Linked DNA regions of Lytechinus pictus. Each later gene encodes a partner of the first gene's protein in a complex. Links are inferred from orthologs where the notes say so. Each region holds a gene or a part of one and is shown in the gene's direction. Other genes may lie near its edges.

Region 1 (6,023 bases):
TGAAACATAGACCATTCAAATAATGATAAGGTTTATGATCTTTGATATATTTTCAAGAATCCTTCCCTTTTTCTGATACACCCAGTAGTAGAGCATATTGATTTAAAACAGATATATAATGACTTGATGGATGATGCCTATATCCTTTACTTTATGCAGTTTATTTGCTATTCTTTTTAAAACTTGTCCTGAAGTTTGAATGTCAATATGACATTTTATTTTGTTTTCCTATGCATTTGCCAGTGAAATATTTTCAGCTTTGAATTGTAGTTTTACCTGGGGTATCTTCGATGAAACTACTCCATAATACATAGAAAAAAAGTGAAGTAGAGCTGCTTCATTTTTTCCCCTTTAAATTTGTAAACCACATTCATTTTTTGTTAGTCTCATGTTCATGCTGTAATTTCAGGATTGCAATTGTGCAACAAGGAGAGAAATTCAAAAAATAAGAAGAAGGTCTTATTTTAATTTCATTCTGTAGAGTACTTTAAGTTAGCCTGCCATTATTTTCAGAAATATCCAGTCAATATTGATTTTAAAATATAGTATTATTTTGCTAATCCTTTTTATTTGTTTTTCAAAGCATCTTCGGTTCTTGATTTCCATTCTAAAAAAATGTATACTGTTAAGTTAAACTTGTCAGTGTCATTATGTATGGAAGTTACAGGGCATTGAAAACAACATCAAGTTGATTTACATTGTAAGTAGATAGTGAAAAATCAAACAGGCATAATGCTTGCAATTTCGTCAAAATCAGTTAAAGTTTTGCTTGATTTTACAATATGTATATCAGGGGTGGAATACAAATAAGGAACAGTTGCTGTCTCGCATTAAGTGCATTTATTTCTTATAATGAAATATATTATTTTTCATGTGTTTCCTTCTTATATTTGTAAACCATGATTTGACTTTGACTCTATGGCTTGAACATGTTAAATGCCCCAGACTTAAATAATCAAGGGGGGGGGGCAAGCAGGCCTCCCCCAATCCATATTTTTCATTGTATGGAAAATGCTCTCTGTGAGTGATGATCATGTTGGGTTTTTTTTCCTCAAAACAGAAGGGGGGAATTGCCCCACCCCTGGTAATAATAATGATAATAATAATAGCGGTATATTTACCCAGGGTAGCCGCTTCAGTTCCGAAAACTGTTCTCCCAGCGGGCCCTGCTATTAAATTCTGGATCTGTCCATTCAATGACCTTTAATGTAACTTCTACAAATCATTCAAATGTTGTTTTTTTTGTGATCAAATCTACAAAACCTGAAATGGTCTGTATATCATTTAATAACTTAAAAACAAAATATTGAAAGTGTGACATCATCAACTCTCATTTATTTCACCTTTTAATCAATTCAAGCTGAATGGAATTGAGTTTGAGATTTCAGGTGCAGTAAACATATATGATTGTGTTACAAAAAATTTCCCTCTTATATTTGTAGATAATAATGTATGGTTTTAAGTGAGCAGTAATGTAGCTTATTTATTTATTTATTTGTTCTCTTCTGGGAACTAATGAAGATGTGAATTAGATGATAGTGTGAAAAGAAAATGATCAAGAATACAACATTTGAAGTGTTTAGCATGATTCTTTTTTTATTGCTTGAAAGTACCTGAAAAGGGGGTTGAAATGGTGAGGAAACCATCAGTGGAAAAGACACAGTGCAAATATTCATACTAGTAACTAAATGATAAGCACTGCATAAACAAAATAAAACAAAACGATACAATAACTGAGTGAGTTCAATTGTGTGTAGTATGCACTCATGCCACTTCTTACAACCAAGGAATTACACACAAACTTCACATTTCACGTAAGTGTATGAGGGGGAGGGAGGAAGAGAGAAGAGAGAGAGAGCATGAGAACGAACAAGGGAAAGAGAGAGATGTTAATAAAAGCAAAGAGAAAGTCGTGTTGCCTCTAAAGGAGGGGGGGGGGGTTCACCATAGCATAATGTTGGCTTTAATAAAAGCAAAATTTCATGTGATTTCATGAAAACGCATTAAAGAACAAATTGAGAAATATTCTAATTTTATTTTGTGATGTCACATGCTGGCAGCTCTCTGATTGTTGTGAGATATAAATTCCTTAAAAAGCAAAATTCTAAAAAAATTGAAAATTATTTTACCTGTTCTTTTAATATGCTATCAGACACAGATCCTTGCAATGAAAATATTTTCAATCATTTCAATATATAAAAATATAAAATTTATGGAGATTATACAAATATTCGCATATGGTATCACAAAAGTTCATGTCTCCAAAGTTATTTTTTGATAGATTTCTGTCAAACTTTCATTGAGTGTGTTTCTCTTATTTTTCTGCAACTTGATGTCAGAATGGAAGTGGGAATTCCCCTTCAATTTATTCACCATGCATTTCATTCTAAAATAAAACATTATGTTTGATATATTAAAAGTGCTAGGAAAGTGCAAACAAGGCAAAATGAAAATATGTTTTGTGTGCATGTAAATGTTGCTCTGAAATGAATGAAATAACTGCTCCAGAAGGGCAGAAACGCCCCACCCCCTCTCAAAAAAAGTTGTGGTGATTAAGATGGCCCTCTACGTTACAAACTTGTTAACAACATGTGTAACCTTAAATATTCCCGAGTGGAAATAAGTTCGGAGGAACTCAATTGAAATAGCAATTGGAGCAGGTATTTCATTTTTCCTTGATGTCAAATAGTATATATTTGTTTTATAATGTCTAGTAAATATGGTCGGCCATATTCCATTGTCAGGACATTTCGTTGTTTTTCTTGTGCACAACGAACACTTCCAGCAGTACCACGAACGATTTTAAACAGAACGTTGGACTCTCACCATGCCGCAACTCCGGGGTCAGGGATCCACTCCGTCCGTCGTCGATCATTTTTATTCGCGGCGAATTCGGGAGGAGCTTGTCGGGAGAGCGGGCGACCGGCGTTAACAACTTCTTCATCTGGGATCTGTCGGAGTTTTTCAGACAAGGATGACAAGAATGTTAGAGCATTGTTTATTCCTGTTCCTGTAAAACCTGCTAATAATCCAGATGACATAAACATCGGTGAAGAGCTTGGTGCAAATTTGAAGAACAAGAAAGGTATGAAAATCATGTTGAAAATAACTTGAGTATGTTAACAGGCCTGCCTATCGCCTATGCTTGTTATTTATATTTTCTACTTTAGGGGTCTATAGGCTTATTTCTAAATTATCATGATTATGATGTAATGCAATGTGGTGGCTATAAGGCTATATTTCTTGTAAGGAAAATGAAATAGAATGTAGTCACAAACATCTCAGATTCATTATTAATGAACGATCGATTGTGAATGTTTTGAAATTGTTTTTTTTGGTACTAACGGCTTAGATTTATTATACATTTCATAATGATCTCCCGTTCTCCAAAAAGAAACATAAAAGGACGCATTTTCTCAACCTCGTCGGAAAGGAAAATGAAAATTAATAGATGTCACGACGATCTCAAATTAATTGCACAATCTATCAGGAAATGTTTTAAAGTTACTTTGACTTTGAGACTGTTTAAATATTGCGCCAAGAGGTATTTCAAATTGCCACCGATCATACCGATACACGTATGATCGGCGTGAAACAGCCGATCAGCCTTGATTAGATCGTTATTGGCTGCCGATCCGAAGATCAGGTATGATCTAAATCAGTGATTTTTTATCCATGCATATTAATTTTATATTTGTTCTTTTATTTTTCAATTTCTTTACAGATGAATTGATGAAGATTCTCACAAAGTTTTCAAAAAGGCCAACTATCCAGAGGCTTGCCGAAGAAGAAGGATTAGATGGTAAGATGATCTCTTACGAATGGTCATATGTAGGCACAGCAGTGACAGCACCATGTATTGTAGTGGCACTTACAGAGGCACAACTGTCCTTACTATTTCTTAAGATGAAGGAAATAGAAGTGTATTGGTAACAAGAATGCTTGGACGTGCTACTGATATGAATTTGTTTCATCATTGTTTCATCATGAACCCCCCCCCAAAAAAAAAAAAATAAATAAAAAATACCCTGGAGCTGTCCTTCACCAAGTGGATAAATGTCTTTGGAAATGGCACTTGACTCCTGTCTGGATCATTGTAAATTATTTTCAGTCTTTGAGTCAATAGTCCTCTGGGAAGACGTTGATCTACATTACCTCCTTGTGCTTACCCAGCACAAATCAGCATAGTTTATTAGGGCCCGTATTCTCAAGTCGGGTTAAATCTAGAGTAAACTCTGGTTTAAAGTTGTGGATAAACTATGAATGACCAAGAGTGCAATAAATCTCAAACAGTATAATTTCAATGTATCAGCTCATTGTTCTCTCAAATCATTTTTAACAGTTTTGGAAGGATAAATAAATTTTGGGCTTTCCATAATTTTAGCACAGAGTTAAACCATGGTTGAAGTTAAACGTGGCTTCAGAATACAGGCCTAAGTGTTTGAGATACCATGGTGCTTTGAAATTACTCCCAAGTGAGTTACATATGTGCATTCATTGCGGGTAAGTTTCATTCTGGTCACCATTTCATTAAGCTTAGTCAGCACTGACAACTTGTCAATCTCTGATAGTTACTATAGTAACAATCAGATCAATGCTTCTTAGTCACTGGAAACCTGGATTTCACTAAAATTGTCACTGCTGATAATTTAGTCAGTTCTGAAAACTTTCATGACACACCCCTGATGATTAGGAAAATATGAAAAATGCTTTGATAAAGATGTACACAAAAGAGAAAAGAAAGAATGAAGAGCTTGATGTCCTGCTTATCTCATGTCTTGGTATCCTTTCTCAGATAACCTCTTTCATCAAAGTTTCATGAGCTTCAGGAAATACATCACAGAGGTGGAGTCTGTGGAGCCTGATCTGCATATTATTCTTAGTGACATTCTGGTAGGGGCGGGGCATATAGATGACATCTTTCCATACTTCATACGCCATGCCCGCCAGATCTTTCCTGCCCTGGATTGCATGGACGATCTGAAAAAGATCAGTGACCTCACAGACCCAGCCCAATGGTAAGTGTTGATCTGCATTTGCACCATTTTGTACCAGGATAGTATCCTGTGGGCAATAATTCAGAAAAACAATCAAAGATATACAAAAGATCTGTAATGTCGGAGTGGAGAGTTTACCAAACTTATCAACTACCAGTATTTAAAATAATCTTTAAGAAATGATGAAAAAGCTGCCATTTAAGATTGTAAATCATTTGAGATTAGCATGAAACAATGAAATTTTGAATGTTTACAAAGTTTAGGAGTCAAAAGTTCAGGAATGAAATGGAAAAGAGAGAGAGAGAGATATATATATATATTTGTAACTATACCTACATAGAATGTAGTATGGAATAGCTGAAGAAAAATAGAGAATATTAATGTTGTAACCCGCAAGTGAAAACCCGAACCGTACCGTCCCGTACAATCCATTAATTTGCAAGCGGGACCCGTTGACCCGTCCGGTTTTAACCCGCAAGTCAATTTATCTTGGAAAAATTAAAATTATTTCTGCAATCCCCACACTATGCAGGCTCAAATCAGGAAAATATATGCCAACTACTAACCTAGCCTAGAGTGAATTTACTTACAATTTGCAAATTCGCCTTTTATTCCGGAGAGAAAATGTTTTTTTTTGTTACTTTGTACCACGAAATGGGTCCGCTCTGATCTCGAAATTGAAAGCATTGCGCAATTAACTCCTCGGATCGGAGCCGCAGCTCAGCGCGCGCTAGCTAGCGCCCAGGCTGCCCAGCAAAGATCGGCAATGTTGTTTTTCAGTCCAGGACAGTCGACACGGCGACTCACAACAATCATAATTACAATATTCAATTCTATGGGACCTCGTCTGTAAAGTAATCAAAATTGAAATAAATACCTTGATAATGATCCAGTCAATTTTTTCTTCTCGTATATCTCGTTATTATTATTTCCTTCTGTTTTTGCATTTCATTCGATATGGCCGCTGAAATTCGATGTTCAGTTTCCCGTCGCCCGCCCGCGTTATGAAATTTGGACCGCGTTCAA
Region 2 (6,023 bases), on another chromosome or scaffold:
ATTTCATTGATGCTTGATTTATTTTTAATCGTGACTTTATAAATATTCTAATAATTCACAACATACCTTTGTCCCAAATTTCTTTCCATAATTAGGCCGAAACATCAGATAGGTAAAATAGCATAAAACATGGACTATACATTTTTCATCTTGAGAACACGGAGAACATGGAAAATGTGTGAGCAAGTGCCCTTTTGCCTTCTTGTAAGTGCCCTATCTCGTATCAGTCCGCATTTTTACCCAAGAAATATGCCGCACACGAATGTGTTCTGTGCCCCTTTTACATGAGGACCCATTTTTACATTTTAATGAGTGCCCCTTTGAAACAAGAAAACAATATTCTCATTTTTGTATGTTACTACAAAACTTGTAACAATATAATCCTACGTGCCTTAAGCTTCATGAGTCATGTCAGTGGGGTAGATAAGCAGAGTCGTACAGATGTGGGGCTCTTGCCCCTTCCCCAAATTTTTTACGACCAAGAAAAAAATAGAAAAGGAAAGAGAGAAGGGTGAAATATGATATTTTATAAATATTTGTTGTCAAAATCTATCACAAAATTAGATTTTCGCTATAAAAATGTTTTTTAAAAATTGCTCGCTCGCTTCGCTCGCAACTTCTTATAATTTTTTATGTGACACGATATATCTAGCCCCCTCAAAATTTTGGCCATTATGCTTCTGTAGATAAGTCACTTTTCTTTGTTTTAAGATAGTGCCCTTTTCGAAAGAAAAGGTGCCCTTTTCCCCCTGTGCTCCCCCCTTTCAACTTCCCCTCCTCTGTATCAAGGTCACTACAATATAAATGAAATACCTGCTTTTATAAAATACACATTCATACAAGTAAAAACCTAAAAAGAAAGAAAGGGTAGATCATGTGGCCCTGTAAAATAATTAAGTTCCCTTCAATATTTAGAACACAATATTGACATCAACTGATACGAAATATAAAGTACAGGTAGTTTGTATATTAGTTTTTTAGATGGTATAAATAAATGGTAACATTTTTTTAAATAAAAAAATATTAAAAACATTAAAGGTCCTTCCAAGTATCTCTCAATAAAAGAAAGGAGAGGGGACTTAAAAAGAGACAGAGAAATAAGAGGAAGATACTAAAAGAGACACATGCGAGGGAGAGAGGGGGAGTGGGAGAGAGAGATAGAACAGTGGGAAAACGATACAAGAATGAGAGATGAGGCGGGAAGCAGAGCAATGTATGTGGGTGTGTAGATTGAGTGTGTTGGTGTGTGAATTTAGTGGGGTAAGAAAATGAGAATTGGAAGAGGGGAGCAGGCAGATGCGGATTCATGGGTCCGAGGTGAACTTGCCGCCCCCCCCCCCCCACGCACACACCAATAAAAAAAATCAAAGAAAAGTAAAAGGGAGACAGGAAAGAAAATAAAGAGGAAAAAATAGAGTAAATTAATGCGTAAAGAAGAAAGGGAAAAGGAAAGGCAAACAAAATAAGGGAAGTGATGAGGGGGGTGGATCAAAGAAGGAAATGGGAGAGAGTAAAAAGGAAATGGAGAAGAGAGGATGGATATATGACAATGAGAATAGAAGGAGTAGAGCAGGCTTAATTAAAAGGTCTATGGGGAGAGGCCCGCAGGGCCTGGATCCGCCACCGGTATGTGAGCCTACTTATCGTTTTCGATGATGATTTTTTTCTCTCTCTCTTTCCGTCTAGCACCATTATGAATTTTCGTGATTTGCAGTCCATAAATGCAGTAGGCCTACCCTTTTTCGTTATTCGTGACCTTTGTTACGAGTTGCATTTTGGATACAGCAGGGAGATTTTGCCAACCAATTATAAATGATTCAGGCAGGAGATTGCTTTTAAAACTTAATCGCTTATTACGATTTTAAGATTTAATTTAATCAAGGTTGCTGTTTCAAATTTAAGAATTATTACAGGGGTGGATTCAGCTTTTGCGGCAAATAGGGAGTGGGCGACAAACTTGTTTTCATTAACAGTTTCTCCAATCTGCCGCTGTTAAACCGATTTGTTGTTGTTGGGTTTTGGGGGTGGGTGGTACTGAATAAAGATTGAATTAATTGTTAAGTAGAAATTGGCTTTATTATTTAAAAAAAAAAGATATTGTATCTCACGGGGCCTGGATAAATAACGCGAGCGCGAGCACTAGCGTATATTTTTATATATTTCATATATTTAATTCTTAAAGATTGAAACGAAGAAATTTTAGGGAATGCTTGTGAAATTCATGAAGATGATACGTACGTACATGTAAATGCATTTCAATTCATTAAAAATATACATATATAAATACAATAGATGACAAATGCATTCTACAATTCATGTACAGTATATAGTAGATGAGGAAATGGGGGGGGGGGGGGACTAAAAAAGCAAAAAAGTTTGTGGGTTACTGAAAACGTCCCCAGGGTTTAATAACCTGAATGCTTTGCTATTTTTCGATTCTTCCAAAGTTCCCGATTCCCTTTAATTTCCATCATCTTTTCTTTCTTTCTTCTTTTTTATTCTCCTTTCCTTTTTTTTTTTGCGGCCGCCGGTCCGCCCATGAAAACAAATTAAAGAGGGCCTGTAAGAAACATAAATGGAGTTTATTTTGCTTTCATCACAGAGATACAAATTGAAATAAATGATTTTTACATAATTATTACTGAACATGGTTCAAATTTATTTTACGGCGGAAGTGTTCTAAGAAAATATCCCGGGAAATATATTTTTAAAAAAATTATCAAATTTATTCAACTTGGCTTCCCATACTCGAATGGATAGAGCAGCGTGTCATAATTTGTTCGCCCTGCTGTACGTGCATGCGGGATGATCAGCGGCATCTCGTGAATACTACCCCGGCAGCTCCCCGAGTGAAAGAGTGTATCGTACCGGTATCATTAATTTATAGACACGAAGATTCACTGAGAGATCGAGACCCACTCGGCTCTCGCTCTTTTTGCGTTTAATCCATATGAAGTTATATTATCATCATTTGATTGACAGGAAAAATGTGGCGTGCATTAGTACACATGCGATATGCTGTAGGAACTCCACGACCACGTTGCCAGTGGTCCACAAAATCTAGAAGATTGAAGCATTTTGCCACAGGCTATGCAACATCAACTGGCAGTGTGGAAGCAGTAATTGGGCAGAGGTAAAAAATCACACATTGACTTATGACCAACCATTTTTAGTGGTGACTACACGCATGTTTAACACTTTAAACACCTTACTGCACTTCAATGTTTACTCTATGAATGGTGGTTGGAGAATCTACAATTAATCTGTCATTTTAGTTTTACGTTTAGGCCTACTCCAAAAAAAATAAGTTTCAATTTTTGTTTTTCATTTCACATTTTCAGTTTTTATTTTTATCACATTTGCATTTTTTCAGTAGGACCTAGTCTTGAGGACTCCATGATGATGTCTTTTAAAACAAATTTGACATACTTCTCCATCATGTCAATTTGTTTTAAAAGACATCATCATGGAGTCCTCAAGACTAAGTAGGACCTCCTAACATAAAGTAATATGTTATAACCATCTTCACGGATGTAAGTGTCTTTACAACAACAACAAAATTGTGCATGTGCGAGGATCCGAGCTCAGACCCTCGTGCGTGCGCATGCGAAGTTTTGAAATCGGTAACGAATTATTTATATGTGTGAGGAACTCGATATTGGCTCTGAATCACCAATTATGAGGCTAAGCGGAGGATGGATATGGAGTGAAATTAGGATGAAAAGTGAGAAACTAAGCTTCATATCCTTGCTAAGCTAGTTTCGATCGATGTAGGATTTTTACATTAAATATGCATTTTTTTGCCACTCGGAGTAACTATCAGAGCGAGTTTTGGGGCTCGATGTTCGGGTAGGCAGTAGAGGCGCTGGTCAGAAAATTGGGATCGTCCCAGTTTACTGGGACTGTCTCAGTTTTTAAAGATTTCTTCACACAAGAATCCTGTCAAGTACCGACACCAATCAAGTGGGCTAGTCAATGTAAACATATCAGGTTTCATAACAAGATTATTGGAAGACGGTAAGTCATGAAAAATAGACGATGAACTGGGGGGAATTGAGGTCACTGAATCTATTTTTAGCACTCTCAATTCCCTTAATTGATGTCTTTGTCCCGTAGGGGGAAGTGAAAAAAAAAGTCCCCATAAACAAGGACAGTCTCAATTTATCAAGACATGATTTGTCTTGGTTTATGAGGATATCCTTGTTTTCTGTGACAATCCCAATTTTTGGACCAGCGCCTCTACTGGTAGGTGGAGCATAGTGTAGCGGAAGTGGAGTAGAGCCTGCATGAACATCACTTGAGGTACTCCATGGCATACATTTAGGAACACGACTGCAACTAAGTTGTTTTGCCCAAAACTTCTAAACTTTTCAAAATTGAAATATGAAACTTACTATTTTGTGCAAATTATAGTACACTTCTGTATTTTAATATTTTATTTAAATAGAGTGTTGTAGCAAAATTATAGCATAATTTATGATCCCTTCTTTTTAACTTTATAGTCCTCTTATCCTGTCTACTGGGGAATTGGCAAAGTTAGCTGATGGATGTGCAACTGCTCAGGTAAGTGAGCTGAATAGATTAAGATGATGAAGTATTAATATAATTAAGTTATATGAATCCATATCCAGACTATTAAATGCTCAAAGTGCATATTTAACACATGCTTTACTATTTGATTTTCAATTACTGAGCATGATATTTATTTTTTCAATGAATTTTTATGCTTAGGTTTTGCTTTCTTCATTTTTTTATACTTCTGAATGGAAATTAAATAAACATTTAGGCCTAGTTATTTTTGTTTTATGGGTGAGTCTCATATTTCTAGATATCTATAGGAAGTACTTTTGAAATGCAGAAAATCAAGGCCAATATTTGAAATGGTGTAATGTTTTATGATCTGGTCTTTTAATGGTTATTTTAATTTACTGGTTAGCATTTACTTCAGTCTCACTTTGGTTCTTAAAAGACTTTAAAAAAAAAATATTTTGGTGTCTCCTATATGTATGATTGAATATCTATTTTGACAATGTTATTGGATAATCCATTCTTCTTTTCTATTCTCTCAGACTGGAGAGAATATACAATTTTATGTTATTTTAACTATCTAGCCTAAACCATTTTATATAACACCTTTTTTTGTTTCAGTTTGGATCAAGTACCTGCGGTGAAAGAGTTATCCATATTCATTTTGCATCTTGACTTTATGTAAATATTTTTGTTAAAAGTAAAAGTCACAGTAAAATTTGTTGAAGAAAAATCTCCTTTGACATATCTTTTATAAATCATAACTTTAATTTGAAGAAAAATCTCCTTTGATATATCTTTTATAAATCATAACTGAGTAGATTTTTTATTATTGTTATATTATTTATAATATTTGTATATTCCAATGCTAGTTAATGCATACATTAATTATGCATTCCTGTTTATTTATTGTATTTCAGATTGGGGATACATCTGTCATGGTTACCGCAGTCAGTAAGAAGAATTCATCGTCTCCTGGTTTTCTTCCATTGACAGTGAGTAAATAAAGATTTAATGATAAATACAGGAATGTTTCGAATATTAGGTAGAGTATGAAAAACTCACGGAAGTAGATATTGCTGTTGGTCATGATGGCATTCAGTTTGAAGTGATATCATGCATTCAGTTTGCATGATATTGCGACATTAATTTACCATTGTGTAAAGGATTAGGAATTCATTGAAAGTTGTCGAATTTGGCTATCAAACTAGTGTGAACAATCAATAATAACTAATCGTGCTATAATTAGCACATTTTCCAGAGGATACACACATAACTATTATTCCCCAGCTTTAGCTTGAGCTGCCAGTACATTCCAGGCTCAGTACATACAGATAATACAGGAAATTTAGTTTAAAAATTATTTTGAAATAAGCTACCCATAAAAAGTCAAACAGAATTAAAGATTACCCATTACATGTATTTTGCTCATGCATTATTTTTACATTTCATTTCCTGTGTCTTTTTACTTCCAAGGTTGATTACAGGCAAAAGGC

Evidence for each region. The genes of interacting proteins can lie anywhere in the genome.
Region 2: ATP-dependent RNA helicase SUPV3L1, mitochondrial-like (region 1) and polyribonucleotide nucleotidyltransferase 1, mitochondrial-like share a complex: the UniProt entries of both Homo sapiens proteins name them as parts of the mitochondrial degradosome (mtEXO) complex. The link is inferred for Lytechinus pictus from reciprocal best matches to the Homo sapiens genes SUPV3L1 and PNPT1.

Annotation. Positions count from the first base shown.
Region 1 is NC_087256.1:1,236,436-1,242,458, reverse strand, and holds the start of ATP-dependent RNA helicase SUPV3L1, mitochondrial-like, read left to right. Parts: upstream 1-2,434; 5' UTR 2,435-2,706; coding exon 2,707-3,085; intron 3,086-3,724; coding exon 3,725-3,802; intron 3,803-4,795; coding exon 4,796-5,018; intron 5,019-6,023. UniProt on the Homo sapiens protein: Major helicase player in mitochondrial RNA metabolism. Component of the mitochondrial degradosome (mtEXO) complex, that degrades 3' overhang double-stranded RNA with a 3'-to-5' directionality in an ATP-dependent manner.
Region 2 is NC_087251.1:30,703,104-30,709,126, forward strand, and holds the start of polyribonucleotide nucleotidyltransferase 1, mitochondrial-like, read left to right. Parts: upstream 1-2,758; 5' UTR 2,759-2,987; coding exon 2,988-3,133; intron 3,134-4,502; coding exon 4,503-4,563; intron 4,564-5,447; coding exon 5,448-5,522; intron 5,523-6,003; coding exon 6,004-6,023. UniProt on the Homo sapiens protein: RNA-binding protein implicated in numerous RNA metabolic processes. Catalyzes the phosphorolysis of single-stranded polyribonucleotides processively in the 3'-to-5' direction. Mitochondrial intermembrane factor with RNA-processing exoribonulease activity.